Linked DNA regions of Mus musculus. The protein of the gene in region 1 purifies or fractionates together with the protein of each later gene. This does not show direct contact. Links are inferred from orthologs where the notes say so. Each region holds a gene or a part of one and is shown on either strand. Other genes may lie near its edges.

Region 1 (3,561 bases):
TGAAAAACTTAGATCAGTAATGTAATATTTCATGTGCAAATACATCCATTTCCTAACAACTAGGGCTGATCACCCACCTGAGACCATGGTCTGTGATCTGGTAACATCCAGACAGACTGAGGAACAAAAGTACTCGTCCAGTCTCTTGGTCAGACTTTTCACTCCCAAAATAAATTAAGTCTTTCCCCCTGGGCAATGTAGTCCTTAATGCTTTTCTACACATTGCAGAAGTCGCTGGGAGTGTAGTCATAGTTCTTAAAGCTGTCCCTGTACAACAGAATGAATGACCACAATATGCAAAGGCTGGAGAAGCACAATGCTGCTGCCAACAGACACTAGTCCTTAATCCCACAATGTCCTTACTGTAACAACCAGATGAGGAACAACCAAAGTTGGAGGCTGTTTCCATCACACAGAGACTCTCAACATTTCTGTGTCTCCACTCTACAGCATCTTCAATATCAGCCAAATCTTCAGCATCTAGCATCCACACATAAGGAGAAGTCAAACTTTCAGAAGACACAGGTTCAGTCCAAGAGTGCTCGTTGTCTATTTCTTCACCAATGCCTTTGTCAGTTAAATTGTGCAAACAGGCATACTGCGTGGTGGATGGCATGGTAATGTCTTTACTTGTCCATGGAGTTGAAGCAGCCTTGCCTGCACTTTTCAGAAAGCCACTCTGATGAGATGTCAGAACTCCAAGAGCTCTAGAAATCTTCTCTAGAGCCATGTCTGTGATTTTTTCACATCCAGACAGATCAAGATGCCGAAGACTCTGGCAGCAACCGAGCCAAGACCAACTACAAGAGGGAAGAAGACTATTAAATTCCTGAAAAGCATTAAACTATACATACAGATAGATGGGTAAGAGCATTACTGTAAGTACAAAATCGATACTTTAACATTTCTGGAATTTCAATCATCAGGGAATATGTTAAGTGCTAAGGATAAGAAAAAAATACTAAGACGAGTAATTAAAGAAGGAAAAAAGAAAGCAGAAAAAAATGAATAGGAGAGATTTAGTTTCCTGTACACTAAGTAAGCAGTTAAAGGGGAGGCAGCACACACATGAAAGAATTGCTAAATATAATGAAGATACAGAAGAAACAAACTCTAGAAACAGGTAAAGACCCTGTCTCTCCCTTTGAAATAGGATCTATCAGAACTGTGAAGAAAGGAGAGCTAAAATAACAAGAAACCTAGCAATCTCCAAGGAAGAATCATTTGTCTGGCTTGAACAGACTGGTACTGAACCAAAAAACAATGAATTACGTTAAAGGAGCTCTGTGAAAAGGCACTTAAAATCTGGAATAAAACCTTGAGAACAGTAATACTGACCGAGACAACAGTTACAGAGCAAGCCTAGCAAGCTAGATAAGACATACAAATGGCAAGTATGATGTTCTGGATCGGCTGCCACATGTGAACAAGGGAAAACTTGGGAAGGTTCTATCAAGTTACCACCATACATGGCAGGGGTTTAGTAACAATACAGGGTAGGATTAGTAAACAGCAATTATGTAAACAAGAAAATAGACAATCTTTTGCTGGCTTTGTTTTATTTTATTTACTATATTTAGATATTTAAAATAATTAACCTGTCAAATGCAGAATCAGAAATGTCGGTCTGGGTAAGATCCAGATGTTCCAGGTTAGGACAAAGCTCTAAAATCTGCCTAACCTAAGAAGGAAAGGAAATCCACTGTGAGGACCTGTGGGAACTTCAGTTAGAAAAGCAACAATGATAAATATAACACCGTGGTTTTTTCCTAAGTCTACATGCATACTGAAAGAAAAAAAAAAAATCACTCCAACAATGCACTAAAATAGTTACACTCTGTGCTCAAATTCTGTTTTGGTGAGGTGTGTGTGGAGGCCTGAAGTTAAGCCAGTGTGTCTCCCTCCATCTAATTTTGAGCCACAATCTCTCGCTGAACTCTAAACCATAGGTTCTGCTAGTGTAACTGCACAGTAAGCACCAGGTATCTGCCTGTCTCTGCACCCATTTCTCCTGGTCCCAGCACTATGGTTACAAATACATGCCATTATACATATATCTACATTCTGGGGATCCAGGGTCTCACACTTGCACAAAAGGCACTTTACCAAATGAACTTTTACCTCTCCAATCCCTGGGCCCATATTTCTAGTAATCTTCTTAAAGTTTCTTAGAAATTAGACCCAGAAAAATCACCCTTTTAAAGGAATACTCAAGGAGATTATATGTAGGAAGTCATAATTTTATAAAACTAATTATCTCACTTGTGCATCTTCCTATGCCTTACATGTTATAATCAACTCTATAGAATTAAGACTCACCACGTAACATCTATAAAGCCAAGTAAACGCTTAGCTGCCTAGTTTTAGTTCCCTTATCTATAACACAGGCAAGATTTCTATGCTACATAGAATACCCTAAGAAATGAAATTATATGAATGCGAACAGTGTACTCCTATCCATGGGAAGACACTATTTTTTCCCTCTTAAACATTAATAAGTAAACTAAAGTTGTCTCACTGCTATTTTCCTTAATACTCGAGCTAGTGTTCATTTGTACATACCATTTTGCTGGAGACTGCAGAGCTGTACGCTAACACTAAAGTTTTTACAGAGGTACCAACATATGGCAGAACATTATGAATTAAGCCATGGAGTACACGTTTTTCCATTTGTGCAATGCTGATAGCAACCGATTCCTCTGCAGACTCTTCTGTAAAATGAATTCAAACATCTAAGAACTAGATATACCAATTTTAAGTATGCCACCAATAGGATGCATCAAAATATTAAATATGAAATACTCTATACTACCCTCACTTTTGTAAACAATTCACTTTCCAGCAACAAGAAAAAGTTCTGAATAGTCAAAGAACTGTAAAATTCATTCAAGAGAAGGAATAAATGATCTATAATGTTTTGGCTTTTTTTTAAAGTAACATAAGTTATTCTACCTAATTAAAAAGGACACACAGAGCTAGATATGAAACAACGCCATTAACCTAATCAGTACGAATCTTCAAGCAAAGACACCTCAGCTCATAAGAAGTTTAAACATAAGCATGGCTTCCTGCACTTGGTAACTTTTATAGAGCTTGGATGTCTATAGCAAGTAATACTTCTCTAACAACAAACAAAAAACTAAACAGGCTTAGCTTGCCAGCAGACTGTTTTTACAGGATGAGTAAAGACCTGAATTCAAGCCCGAAAATTAAAGAAAAGAAATTTTCCTACAATCCCAATTTAATAAAAAGCAAACACACTGTAAGTAAGCCTAAAATTTGTATTACTTTTCAGGATTCTACCTTTACTATACTTACCTAAACTCCTAACCTTAATGTACTGCACAATAAAGTAGCTTAATATAGTAAAGATTTGTTTAAAATAAAATTAAATATAGTGATTAAAAGAAAGCTATGTGAAAAGAGTAATTACTAACTATTTTATTGACTTTGTGTATTTCATAAATACCTCAAGTTCTTCCTTTACTTGGACAATATGTGTATCATAAAAATCACTTCAGAAAACATTTCTTATTCCACTATACTTTTATTCTTAATTCA
Region 2 (4,350 bases), on another chromosome or scaffold:
TCTCATGGCTGAGAGGGATCCCATTCCAAGAGCTGAGAACGCTCCTAACAAACACGAAGGCGACGCTCACCCCGCACCCCACCTTTCCTAGACTCCCAGACAGCCACCGAGGCTCCAAAAAGCCGTGTGGAGAGGTGGGAGGAAATAAAGATTTCTATTTTCCATGGTCCTGCACTGCTTTTTACAAGTCGGATTCCCGCAGACAACGACCTGCAGCCCGATAATGACACAGTGACTCGCTGGAATGAGCGACTGTGTTCGCCTCGATCGCTCCGACTTCTGGGGACGCAGGCTGCCCACGCCGCGCCCCGGCCGGCCGCCGGCCGACCCTGGCCGGGGCTGCCAGATCCGCGGCGCACTCGCTTGGCCCCCTCCGCCAGCCTCGTCGCGGTCTGGAAACATTTCCTGCCCCCGCCCCCATCCCCAGCTTCCCGGTGGGAGCGAGTTGGCCTCCCGGCCGGGTCAGCGCTCGCAGTTACCCCAACTCGCTTCCCAGACAGCCCGCGCCGGGGAGGGCCCCGTCTGGCTCCGAGAAGCCGTGGGGGAACCCAAGCGCCCGGCGCCGAGCGAGGTCGCTCGGGAACCCCAAGGTTCGGGCAAGGCAAGGGCCAACTGGCAGCGCGCCGGGACCCCGCTGCCTTTCCTGGCGTTACCTGCTCGCTTGCGGGGGTGTCCCGGAGCAGCCGGCCTCTCCCGGCGCTGTCTCCCCACGCAGTTGCCCATGCTGGCTTCTCAGCCGGTCCCCCATGCACCAGAGGCGGCGGTCGGCCGGCTGCTCCACGCTGCTGCCCCGAACCGCGGCGTCCCCGGGTCAACGACTCCCGCAGCCCGACATCGAGAGCTCCTGGATCTCCCCTGGGGAGCGCTCTGCCCGACGCCGGCTTCGCCACAAACTTTGCGGGCCAGCGGAGAGGGAGGTGGCCAGGCCAGGGGGGCCCGCGACAGTGCCCGGCCAGAGACCAGCCCGGCTGGAGGGGCGGAGGGAGGGGGCGGACACCGCCGCAGCTACTCCAGGATCACTCCGAGCTCCCAGCTGGGGCCGGCCCCCCGGAGCCTGTCACTCACCTGCCTAACCCCGCCCCGGCCCGGCCCCGCTCCCTTCCTCCCGCTTGGGGTGGCCGCGCCACGGTCGCCAGCCGCCCCAGGTGCGCATGTGACCGACGGCACCGCCCCTCGGGCCGGGTCTGGTTTTCTCATTGGCTTTTCCCAGGATGCGTACCGCCCCTCGGCCCCACCCAGCCAGGTGCCCGCCCTGTCGCCCGTCTCCCGGGGAGAGCGGCCGGGAATTATGCGCCCTCAACCGCCCCGGCTGCGTGCCCGGCAGTCACTTCCCCTCCCGGAGCCGCGCCCCGGCCCAGGCCCCGCCCTCTGGGGAGGGGCCGTTAGGTCCCTGAAGGGACTGCCTGGCCCAGAGCCGGCAGGCACGTGACCTGGAGGTGCCCCGCCCCTGAAGTCTGCGCCCAACTATTGGCCATGGAGGCGCGTGCGCGGAGAGACACATCTCGTAGCCACACCCACTTCCCCCTCCCACAATCTCTGGCTAGCGTCATGGCTGCCGCCACCGGTCTGGAGGAGGCAGTGGCGCCTATGGGCGCCCTGTGTGGCCTCGTGCAAGACTTCGTCATGGGTCAACAGGAGGGGCCCGCTGACCAGGTGGCTGCAGGTATGGCAAACAACGCCGCGAGGCTTCTGCAGGGGCCGGACCGCAGGGAGCGGCCTCAGCACCCGCGCGCGGCGGGAAGGGAGTGAAGGGAGAGGTGATTGTGATTGGTCCTCTGGCCGCTCTGCCCCCGCTGGGAGCGCTACTGCCCTAACAAGTTGGAGAGTCGCTTGCATCTTCCTTAAAGCTTTCTTTACATTCCGCATCTCGCTGTGGTCCATAGAGAATCATTACATTTCTCCGAGAGTAATAGACTTGTGCAAGGCACAGACGAGTCCGGAAGTGGAGCTGGGACTTGGACTCGGGTGTTCTGGTCCAAACCTGGTGCTTGCACCGCAGGACCGCGTTGTTTGCGGAGTGTTAGGTGAGAAGGTCTGGGTTCCAAGGGTTACGCTCCGGCCTCTTGCCTTCCTGGAAGTAGCGTGCGCTCCAGCTGTTTGAGTGGTTGTAATTGGATGGAGGAGGGGAGGAGCCAGTCTGGCTCTAGGTCGGTGGGCGTGTAGATGACTAGTGTCTTTAAAGATTCACTTATGTGTCTTAGTAGGCTTTAAAAAAAAGAATATATATATATATATAGTATGTGAGTACGCTGTCAGACACACCAGGAGAGGACATCGGATCCCATTATAGATGATTGTGAGCCATCATATGGTTGCTGGGAATTAAACTCAGGACCTCTTCAAGAGCAGTCTGTCCTCTTAATTGTTGAGCTATCTCTCCAGCCCCAAATAGGCTTTTTGATAAATTAGATTTATAACTTTTTAATGTCCCATTTTTTTATCCTTCTTCCCAGAGTTCCAATTTCAGGAATCTCTCAGTTCCGAGTTTATCCAGGATTTGAACAAATCCAGGGTGCCTCTTTAGAATTCTTTCTGAATGTTGAATGTTAGGCCTTCAGTGTCGGGTTTAAGAAATAGAATAAAAAATGGATATAGATGCGGGTTTTTAAAAATTATGTTTGGAAGTTTATGGGTGAAGAAGTTTCTTTAGCAAATTGAACAGATTAATTTTTAGAATATGTGAGAAATGAACTGCTAGAAATATATGTTGGTCCTTAGCAATAGTCCACATTCTCTGCCATTCTATTATTTCTGAGCACGTATTTTTTACCCAGCATGAAAAGAATTGAGGACAGAAATACAAATAAGATACTATCTATGGCCATCAAACTATTATAATTAGTGAGAGAAAGAACTGTGTTGTAAGAGGTAAATATATGGTTCCAGAGCATCAAGGGGCAAAAATGCCTGCTATTGGCTGGGCTTGGTAGTGCATTCCTTTAGTTCCAGGATTTGGCAGGGGGGTGGCAAGTTTGCTAGTGAGTTCTAGGCCAGCCTCAGCTACAGTGTGAGCCCCAATCTCAGAAAGAAAATAAAGCCCCTGGTACTTGCACTTAAGCTTATAACATTTTACAACTTAATCAAGTATAGTCTGTTATGGGTTATTATCAATGCCATTTCCCCCCAGATTTTACTATGGAGATTTCACAGCATTTAACAAAATCTAAAGAATTTTAATTTTTAGTTATTTATCTGTTTGTGTATTGTCTTTTGAGACAGGCTCTCTCTGTGTTGCCCTGGCTATCCTGAAACTCTGTAGACCAGGCTGGTCTTGGACTCAAAGATCTAAATCCCCCTCCCAAATGCTGGGATGACGGGCATGCACTACCCCTGCCCAACTTAAATTTTTTTTTAAAGATCATAGACTCACTACTTAGAGCCTATCACTAACATTTTTTTCTTTAATTTGAATTGTCACAAACCTACCCATTTAAACTGCAGAGATCAATACATTAATCTCTAACTTCTTTATCGAGCTCCTCATTGACTAGTGTTTGCTTTTGGTTTGTTTGGGGGGTAAACTTTAGATCCGGTGAACTATATATCAGGACCGTTGTTTTCACAGAAGCTTAGATATACTTAAACCCACCCCCATACCAAGATAGATGTTACTATATTAATGTTATCTGTAATTGTTCTTCCACATTTGTGCACTCTGGGAATAATAATTTTGGATTTTATGGATGCATAACACATCTTTAAAAGACAGCTTAAATAACTGCCTTCTTATTTTTTCATAAAATACCTTTTTTTGTTATGTCAAAAAAGGGAGCCTGAACTATCATCTTGTTTTAGTGTTTCTATTGCTATGACTAAACTCCATGACCAGAAAGCAAGTTGGGGAGGAAAGGGTTTATTTGGCTTGTACTCGGAGATCACAGTCAATCATTGGAGGAATTCAGGACAGGAACTCAAACCTGGAAGCAAGAGCTGATGCAGAGGCCATGGAGGGTGCTGCTTACTGGTTTGTTCCCTGTGGCTTGCTCAGCCTGCTTTCTTACGGGAGCCAGGACCACTAGCTCAGGGATGGTACCACCCAGAATGGGATGGGTCCTCCCTCATTGATCACTAATTGAGAAAATGCTTTACAGCTGGATCTCATGGAGGCATTTCCTCAACGGATGCTCCTTCCTCAGTGATGACTCTAGCTTGTGTCAGGTTGACACAAAACTAGCCAGTGCATGTATGGTTTAAAATCTACTCTGTAGTACCTGTGTAAGTGAACCCTATTGTAATTTATTCCTCTTAACAAAAGGAAGGTTGGTACAAAGGAATAGTAGCCAGTAAGGTTGAATGGGTTGATGGAGCCGGATTATATATAACCCTGAACTCCAGCGGTAAGGTCTGAAT
Region 3 (3,948 bases), on another chromosome or scaffold:
AGCAAAGTTGCCATTCACTGAACTCAGACATATATAACATCACGAGGGAAATTATTGAGCATGTGAAGCAAGACAGGACACTGGCAAACTTGGTACCGAGTAATGAAGAGCAGCACAGATATATGGTGGAGGAAACACAGGATGACTCGTTGGATAAAGGCATTTACTGCAATGACTGAAGATGACCTGCGTTCTATCCCTGGAAACCATACACTAGAAGAGAGAACCCCTCCTGAAACTTGTCCTCTGACCTCCACTTAACACATTGTGGCATGTGCCCTCTTCTCAAATGTAGTTAAAATTTTAATGAATGTGAGAATCTTCCCGACAGTGCTGGAAATCCCAGTGGGGTTGAGATGGAAAAACTGCTGCAGCCTGACCCAGAGCTCAGAGGTCCCTTAAGTCCCCTTGGCCCCAGGAGAACTTACATTGCTGGATCAGAGGTCCCATCCTTTACACAGTTTAGGTGGCCCAGGGGTATAAACCACAGCATCCCTAGAGGCAGCTTGGCGAAGGGAACTAGCAGGAAGGCGTGGACACCCACATCAATACCACTCAAATGAAAGAGATTTCCCCATGTGACTGGTCATGATGGGACTGGAAATGTACAGATGGCATCAAAGTTGAGTCTGTTCTATCAGCGGGCGCCGCACTGTGGGTGTTGCTACCTCCTTGTGACCTTTAGGTCAGCCTTGTCAAAGTACTCTTTGTTTTCAAACACTGTTTTTACCCACTACAAGACCCCAGCTTATCCATCCAGGCTCACTGAGGGACCTCTGGACCTGCTGCCATCATTCAGTCCTGCGAGCAGTCAGCCATGGGCCACGTGTGCTGGTCCCAATGGCACAAGTCTGTCTTCCACCAACCCTGCCTCTCCTGAGTTACGAAAAAGACTGTGGGAATTATATGTGCAATTTCCCATTCTTTAGACAAGCTGGACATGACATCACCCATGCCAAGAATGATATTTCTGCCTGCTAAGGCATTCGTGGCCTCCATAGCCTGGCTGACAGCAAAGGAGACAGTCTGGTAGGGAGGGGTTATAGGATAAATTAAGTGCTGCCTTCTCAGGGCAGATCAGATTCAAGTGGCCTAGAGGTCACCACGGTCTACATTAGGATGCTCTGAGGTGAGAGTTTAGGATCGCGTATCTACTTAACAAGCATGTAACTAGTGCTGCCGATTCCTACTAGAGGAAACCAGCGTGTCATTAGATCTACGGTTCTACGATAGCGTGACAGCGAGCTGGAGCGTCCCAAGGCCCAATCACAAGGAGCCTTTAGTGCCCTTGTCAGACGGTGTTGGCTTCCTGCGATCCAGCTCCCAACAGGATCCCACGGCTAAGAACCGAAGGGACGCCCCGGCGAGAGCTACCAACATTTTTCCCGCTTTCGGAGTAGCCCGCACGACAAATACACCGCTTCTAGCAAACTACTCGCCGAATCCCTGGAGTGTGGCGTGTCCCTTGCACGACCCCGTAGCCACACCACGCCCTCTCCTCGTTCCCAGGAAGTGCGCGGAAGGAGCGGAAGTACACACCACCGGGGGATTGTGGGAACCGCGGTTCCGGGATGGTGGGCGGCGGCGGTAGCGGCGGCGGGCTCTTAGAGAACGCTAACCCCCTCATCTATGAGCGTTCCGGGGAGCGGCCAGTGACGGCGGGCGAGGAAGATGAGGAAGTGCCGGACAGCATCGACGCCCGGGAGATCTTCGATATCCGTCGCTGCAGGGCGCTGGCGGGACGGTGGGGGCTTGGGGTGTCGGCAAGAAGTGATGCGCAGCCCGCTGGTGGAGGGGTGTCCCGGTTAGGCGTTGCCTGCGGAGATTTTGAGTGGGCCAAAACTTAGAGTCCCTTTTCCTTCACTTGGCACATCTTATCCGCTCCATTAATGACCCGGAGCATCCACTGACACTGGAGGAATTGAACGTAGTAGAGCAAGTTCGGATTCAGGTGAGTAGTTTACTCGAGTAATCAAAAAGGTACCGTTGTACCTCAGAGGCTGGTGTTCTCCGTTCACAAGCCCCCAAGAGGATCTGTGGGAGGTGTGTTAATGTTTATGGAGCCGATAAAAAGTTGGGTGACTTGCCCAAATCGATAAACTAAAGAGTGTCTTTGGGCTAGGGGCCGCCGTGCGATCACTGCGATCTGATCTCCCTTGTCATCGCAGGTTAGCGACCCAGAGAGCACAGTAGCAGTGGCCTTCACACCCACCATCCCACACTGCAGCATGGCCACGCTTATTGGCCTCTCCATCAAAGTCAAGCTGCTGCGATCCCTTCCCCAGCGGTTCAAGGTCAGTTGGAGTCAAGCCCCCGAGGGTGAAACAAACTACTGGGGCGGGCGAGGGGACATCGGGCGGAGATCGGAAGGATCCGAACTCGCAGAGTTGAACCCCCAAGTTGATGTGACAAGAATATTGGGGGGAAAAAACTCCAGAAAATAGGAGTGTGGTGGAAAGGGCAGCTGGGAGCTGTGAATGGGCGTGATCGATCGAGGCACTGGAAGGCTTTTAAAGTCAATAGTCGCTGACTAGGTCCTAGGGTAAAAGTGGATTGACTGACTGCAGGTGGGTTTGGGGTGGCTTGGAAGAGCCAGAATCAAGAGGGGTGACTGGGAGTTCAGATGGTTGGGAGGTAGTGTCCAAAAGAAAAGGACAGGCGGGTAAATGCTCGGGCCCACATTGTCTTTCCTGCAGATGGATGTACACATTACACCCGGGACCCACGCCTCCGAGCATGCAGGTTAGTGTGGACTGCTGGGCCCCAAACTAGGTGAGGCTTCCCCTTTGCCACAGTCATCTGTGGGGGCAAGATTAGGACCAGGGGACTAAGTGAATAAAATGGCCATACTACAGCTTAGACCAAAGCTGGCCTGACTGAAATCTCCTGCTTCCCATGACCCACCCTCCTGTGGTCCTCAAGTACACAGGGACATTGGGTCGGGCTTCAGGAAACACTGGAGGGAGGCAGACATAAGCAGTCCCTGGTGGTGACGGGCATTCCAAATGATGAAGCTAGTTATGGGTACAGGTGATGCATATAGCCTGATCCAGGCTTGGAGTCCTGAGACTATCAGAAAAGAACTTTATTGGTAGAAATATAATGTATACTGAGGCTAGCAACCTGGCCCAAGTTTGCTTTAATCCTGTTTTTCCACCCTTCTTTTCCTACCCAGTGAACAAACAACTTGCAGATAAGGAGCGAGTGGCAGCTGCCCTGGAGAATACACACCTGCTTGAGGTTGTTAATCAGTGTTTATCCGCCCGCTCGTGAGCCTGGCTTTGGACCCCCAGCCTGCACTCAGGTTGTCCTGGCCTCAGCTCCACCAAGGGCTCATGGCTTTGTTTTCTTGAATCACTGACAAGGAGAAACTTAACACTTTTTATTTTGTAATAAACCCTTAATTTATATTCATTTCCCAGTATGCCTTAGCGTCTCTCATAGTGGACTCATTTTCGGTTGTAGTAGAGTGGGGTGGGGACCTATGAAGGGTGGGTCCATGAGGTGCCCTCATTGCTTCTGATAACTCCCAGTGGGGCTGGAAAAATGGCTCAACAGTTAAAAACACTTACTGCTCTTAAGATCTGGGTTAGGTTCCCAGCGCCCAAGTTACAACCATCTGTAACTTCAGTTCCAGAGGATCTTACATTCTCTTCTTGCCTCCAAAGGCACCAGGAACACATGTGATACACACATGTATAGGCAAATACTCATACATATAAAGTAAATCAGCAAGCTGTATATAGTGGTACAAACTTTTTAGTCCCAGCACTCAGGAGACTGAGGCAAGCACATCTATGATTTTGACAACAGCTTGGTCTACATAGAGAGTTCCAGGACAGCCAAGGCAGTTATAGGGAGACCCTGTCTCAAAAAATAATAATAATTTTTAAAAATTTGTTTAGCCTTTCCAATGTTTCAGATACCAAAGGTTGCAAATGATAAAAA
Region 4 (4,339 bases), on another chromosome or scaffold:
CTCCCTATATGATGCTCGTTCGTGTTAACTCAATGTAGAAGCCTACACTGAATTTCCAAATGATCTGGGCAGCAAAACCTTACATCCTTTCATCTAGAGCTAATCAATCATGTTTCCAAATTCACATTGACTTGAGAGGCTAAACTGCTAAGCATGGACGGAACCCCCACTCAGTCTCACAGCTCAGACTTTAGATCGGTGGACAGCATGTGCTGTAATTAATGGGTTGCTGTAGGCTAAAACCAAGTTTTATATATAGAAAGTTTGCATTCTGTGTAAGCTACAGACATGTTGAAGTGTGCTCCTGATGTATACTTCCTGTGCTTTGAGCTAGTAATAACGGAGAAACTGCCTTTTATAAGAGCTGGGTGTGGTGGGACAGAACCTGCAGTCCCGGCACTTTAAAGGTAGATGTAGGGAGTCCAAGGTCTGGGGAGTTCCACCAAACAATGAGCTCTAAGCCTGCCTGGGGCCCATGAGTATCTGACTCAAAAATCAAACCAAAAACCCCAAACAACTAAACCCTCGGGAAGAAATCTAAAACAAAACAGTAGTTGGGGTAGGAATAGGAAGTGAAGGGCAAGGTGGAGGAGGTGGGGGACACTGGAAGAGGCACTCAGAAAACGTACTTACCACCCAGCATTTAAAAGAAAGGTGGCGTTTTGTGTGCCAACTTGACACAAATTAGTCATCAGAGAGGAAGGAGTCTCAGTTGAGAAAATGCCTCCATGAGATCCAGCTGTAAGGCATTTTCTCACCATTTTCTCAATGGGAGAGGGCCCAGCCCATGGTGAGTGGTCTCACCTAGGCTGGTAGTCCTGAGTTCTATGATAAAGCAGGCTGAGCAAGGCATGGAAGCAAGGCATTAAGCATCACCCCCACGGCCTCTGCATCAGTGCTTGCTTCCAGGTTCTAGCCCTGCTTGTGTTCCTGTCCTGACTTCCTCCAGTGAATTGGAAGTGTAAGCCAAATAAACCCCTTTCTCCTCAGCTTGCTTTTTGGTCATGGCGTTTCATCGCAGCAACAGAAATCCTAAGGCTCCCTACGTTAGTCAGGCAGTTACATGTCACACTCTGCCCCTCGTGAGGGACAGTCAGCCTTCTCCACGCTCCAAAAGAGGAAAAGCCTAGAAATCGGCTCTACACTTCCTGGGACTGAGCCACTAGCAAAGCTAGATGCAGCCTCGGGGCCCAGTTTCTCCCGCCTATGGGGAGGAGCCACGAAGATCAATAGCCTTCAGCTTCGGGCCTTCGGGCCTAGGAGGTACAGAGGGGTGGAGCAGGTCCTAGGCTCCGCCCCCGTCCGTGGCCACGAGTCTCTTGTTCTAGGGGTGGGACGGTGCCCAGCCCCTAAACCTGGCCATGTAGGGGCCTGGGACTCGTCCCTCGGTATGGTCTGCCTTCAGGCTCTGGAAAGAAGAGGTGTTCCCAAGCTCTGCCCCTTGGCCGCAACCTCAAGTCAGATCTGGGCCTTGGGGCGGAATAGGCCCTAGACTCCGCCCATCTGCCAAGATCGGAAGGTTCCGAAGGGAGGGCGCACCCGGACTAGACTGCAAGCTTCAGCCATCGCTTGCAGCTTCTAGAGGGAGGAGGTGCCCAGGCTCCGCCCCTCGGGGGGCGGAGTGAGGCCCGGGCCCCGCCCCTCTCCCGCAGCAGCTGGTTCCGGCCCGCTCTCCACCGGTCCCGCCTCGCTGCCGGAGCGTCCGGAGGACCGCTCAGTGGGAGGAGCGCGGAGTCGGCCTGGGACATTGCTAGCACCCGCCTGTGTGCTCCGGGAACTGCACTGTGAGCGGTGAGTACCACGCGGCCCCGGGGCGTCCGTGCAGGCCTTTCCCACGGGTGCAGACCCGAGGACACGGGGAGAGCTGCGGGGAGGCGGTGGAGCTGGCTCCTGGGGTGACCTCTCTACTCGCTCCCCAGCCTGCGTCGCTCTGGACTGGGAGTGGCTCTACTCGGCGCCCCGGGAGTTCTCGCCTTGGTGTGAGGGCCGCACCGCCGGGGTGTCATTGTGCCAGGCCCAGCCCACGGGATAGAAAGGAACGATTGTGCCCGGCAGATTGGAGTCCCCAGCACGGGGCGAAGGCAGGCGGGGTGAGGGTAAGAGCCCCCTCAGTGGAAGGGCATAGAGTCCAAGGTGATTGATTGAGAAACCCAAGGAGAACGGGACTGTACCACTCTGGCCAGCCCAGTGCACTAGAACCGCAGATCTCCCTGCAGCACGCATGACAGCCTCCCAGCAGAAGTTGCCGAACTTTTGCATTTAGGACCGGCAGCGCGCCTAAAGAACCTTTGTTATATAGATTGTACCTATTGATTTTTGCAGTGTATAAATACAGCGTATAGACACTTAATATACTTAATTCAGATAGACCGATTCTGTAGTTTCCAAAACACTGTTATTAAGAATGGCATTCTTTAACCTTCCTGCAAATCTCTGCTTAGAAGACACTCAGCCTGTTGCAGTATGACAGGTCATGTAGCTTCTGAAGACTTTTAAGTATATTGGTGAAAATGTAACATTGTATTGCTTAAAGAGTGGTTTTGACCGTCCAAACACCTGCGCCTGTGTTTCTCTGCAGCATACTTTAGAACCACCGAAGTAGCCAGTGCTTAGGAGGCATAGTTCACTGGGTTTGCCACTTTATTTATGGTTCTTCCATTCCGCACCGTGGAGGAGTTAACCTCTGATACCCAGGAGCACTCTGGACCTCACTTTCCAACGGAATACGAGATCCCCACAGTTGGTGGTGGCTTTGGGTGATGTTCATGTGTGCCTTGGTTGTTTCTGTGCCTGCTGAGTTGATGTGTGTAAACCTGATGTAGCACACCAGACCTGTGAGTTCAGGGAGGTGGGTGTGACTAGACCATGCCAAATGTGTAGGGGTTGCTGTAAGATTACCAAGCAGTTGAGAGGTCATGTCTAAAACACCAGGTGGCATGTTTTTGCCTCCTTATCCCTGTGTTCAGTTCTGTTGGGGGTTTCTAGCCTTGGGTCTGTTGAAGTATGGTGTCCCAGTCTCCGAATTCTGCCACTTCCACATTCCTGGTGAGCTCTGTGTGTGGTCCTGCCTCTGCCACTGGAAAGCAGTTGCCCATTGTGTCTGTGTGTGATAGATGGAACCCTGCATTAGAGTCTTTCCTTTGTTTCATGCTGTCTACAGGAATTTGAGATAGAAGTTATATACATATTATCAAAAAATGTATACCTCAAAGCAAACAAGTTTCTTAATCCTCTACCCAAAGAGGCTATTGTGTTCTGATTGAGCAGCTTCAGCACTTTAAGTAATACATTAGAAATGATTGTCCTCATGCTGTTGCTCCCACAGTCGGGAGAAGGGGGCTGGGATCTGAGCCCTTGTGTTCTTGTTATACACATTGTTGATACTGGAGCCTCTCTTATTCATCCTTGAGTAGATGTTTATCTCAGCTCCAACTCTTCTGGACCTTGGGAAATGAATGATTTTAGAAGGTGAAGGGCCTGTCTGGAATTTACAGTCAAGAGCATAGGTAAGTACCGTCCAGTTGAGATCATTTCCTGCCTGTATGTGTACATGAAACACGGTCATGTAAGAAAGCAATACCTGCTAGGAAGGTGTGCATCAAAAAAAGCACATGCAAAGGAAACCAGAGGCCTACATGTAAAGATGACAATTAAAATAAATGGTATTTATTACCTTTTCCCCGACAAACAACATTGTTTGTCTTGTTTGCTCCAATCTCCTGTCTTTTAGGAGCAGATACCTCCTCATGCGACCACTAGAGTCTGCATAGGAAAGTCCCTCCCAACCTGTGTCCGTTCTTGGCCTCGCATTGTGAAGGTTACTTCATCTCTCAGAACTTTCGTGTCTCTGACTTTCCAACTAGACTGTGGTTAGTAGGTGTCCCAAACACCCATGGTTTCCTGAGAGAGATTTATGCTAGTGTTTGTGCACGTGTCTTCTCAACTCTGTGTTCAGCAGTGTTACATTTCTGTAGCTTGAAATGGACCATAATGAGAATATTTATTTACAACATGGAAATCATCCAGCACTCCATGTATGAGTTTTTTTCTACCTGGGAACAAATTGCTAAACATTTACCAGCACACTGCTGCTGTTGGAGCCAAGGTGCATTTAATTTGGTTTCTTTTCTCTTTCTTTTCTCTCTTTCCTTCTTTCTTTCTTTCTTTCTTTCTTTCTTTCTTCCTTCTTTCCTTCCTTCCTTCCTTCCTTTCTTTTCTTTTTGTTTTTTTTGGCAAAGTCAGACTCCTTTGCCTGAACAAAGATATTAGGTATGAGGTGTTTTATTCAAGTCTTCCAAATTTTTGGTAGATGGGGACAGGGAAGGCTGTATTTAAAATA

What was found. Proteins that work in one complex are often made in the same cells at the same time.
Region 2: the proteins of Fbxl5 (region 1) and Mms19 purify together in Homo sapiens (affinity purification with mass spectrometry; 4 studies listed by BioGRID and IntAct, counting the BioPlex papers as one, with this or other methods). This does not show direct contact. The link is inferred for Mus musculus from reciprocal best matches to the Homo sapiens genes FBXL5 and MMS19.
Region 3: the proteins of Fbxl5 (region 1) and Ciao2b purify together in Homo sapiens (affinity purification with mass spectrometry; 3 studies listed by BioGRID and IntAct, counting the BioPlex papers as one, with this or other methods). This does not show direct contact. The link is inferred for Mus musculus from reciprocal best matches to the Homo sapiens genes FBXL5 and CIAO2B.
Region 4: the proteins of Fbxl5 (region 1) and Aco1 purify together in Homo sapiens (affinity purification with western blotting; 3 studies listed by BioGRID, with this or other methods). This does not show direct contact. The link is inferred for Mus musculus from reciprocal best matches to the Homo sapiens genes FBXL5 and ACO1.

Annotation. Positions count from the first base shown.
Region 1 is NC_000071.6:43,758,145-43,761,705, forward strand, and holds part of Fbxl5 (F-box/LRR-repeat protein 5), read right to left. Parts: intron 2,712-3,561; coding exon 2,563-2,711; intron 1,682-2,562; coding exon 1,599-1,681; intron 801-1,598; coding exon 78-800; coding exon of another isoform or gene 53-77; exon of another isoform or gene 1-52.
Region 2 is NC_000085.6:41,978,312-41,982,661, reverse strand, and holds the start of Mms19 (MMS19 nucleotide excision repair protein homolog), read left to right. Parts: upstream 1-1,525; 5' UTR 1,526-1,548; coding exon 1,549-1,663; intron 1,664-4,350. Other genes in the region: Ubtd1 (ubiquitin domain-containing protein 1), read right to left, coding at 654-723. UniProt on the Homo sapiens protein: Key component of the cytosolic iron-sulfur protein assembly (CIA) complex, a multiprotein complex that mediates the incorporation of iron-sulfur cluster into apoproteins specifically involved in DNA metabolism and genomic integrity.
Region 3 is NC_000074.6:104,639,314-104,643,261, reverse strand, and holds Ciao2b (cytosolic iron-sulfur assembly component 2B), read left to right. Parts: upstream 1-1,533; 5' UTR 1,534-1,571; coding exon 1,572-1,713; intron 1,714-1,871; coding exon 1,872-1,951; intron 1,952-2,168; coding exon 2,169-2,294; intron 2,295-2,696; coding exon 2,697-2,742; intron 2,743-3,175; coding exon 3,176-3,273; 3' UTR 3,274-3,423; downstream 3,424-3,948.
Region 4 is NC_000070.6:40,141,751-40,146,089, forward strand, and holds the start of Aco1 (cytoplasmic aconitate hydratase), read left to right. Parts: upstream 1-1,514; 5' UTR 1,515-1,791; intron 1,792-4,339. UniProt on the Homo sapiens protein: Bifunctional iron sensor that switches between 2 activities depending on iron availability. Iron deprivation, promotes its mRNA binding activity through which it regulates the expression of genes involved in iron uptake, sequestration and utilization.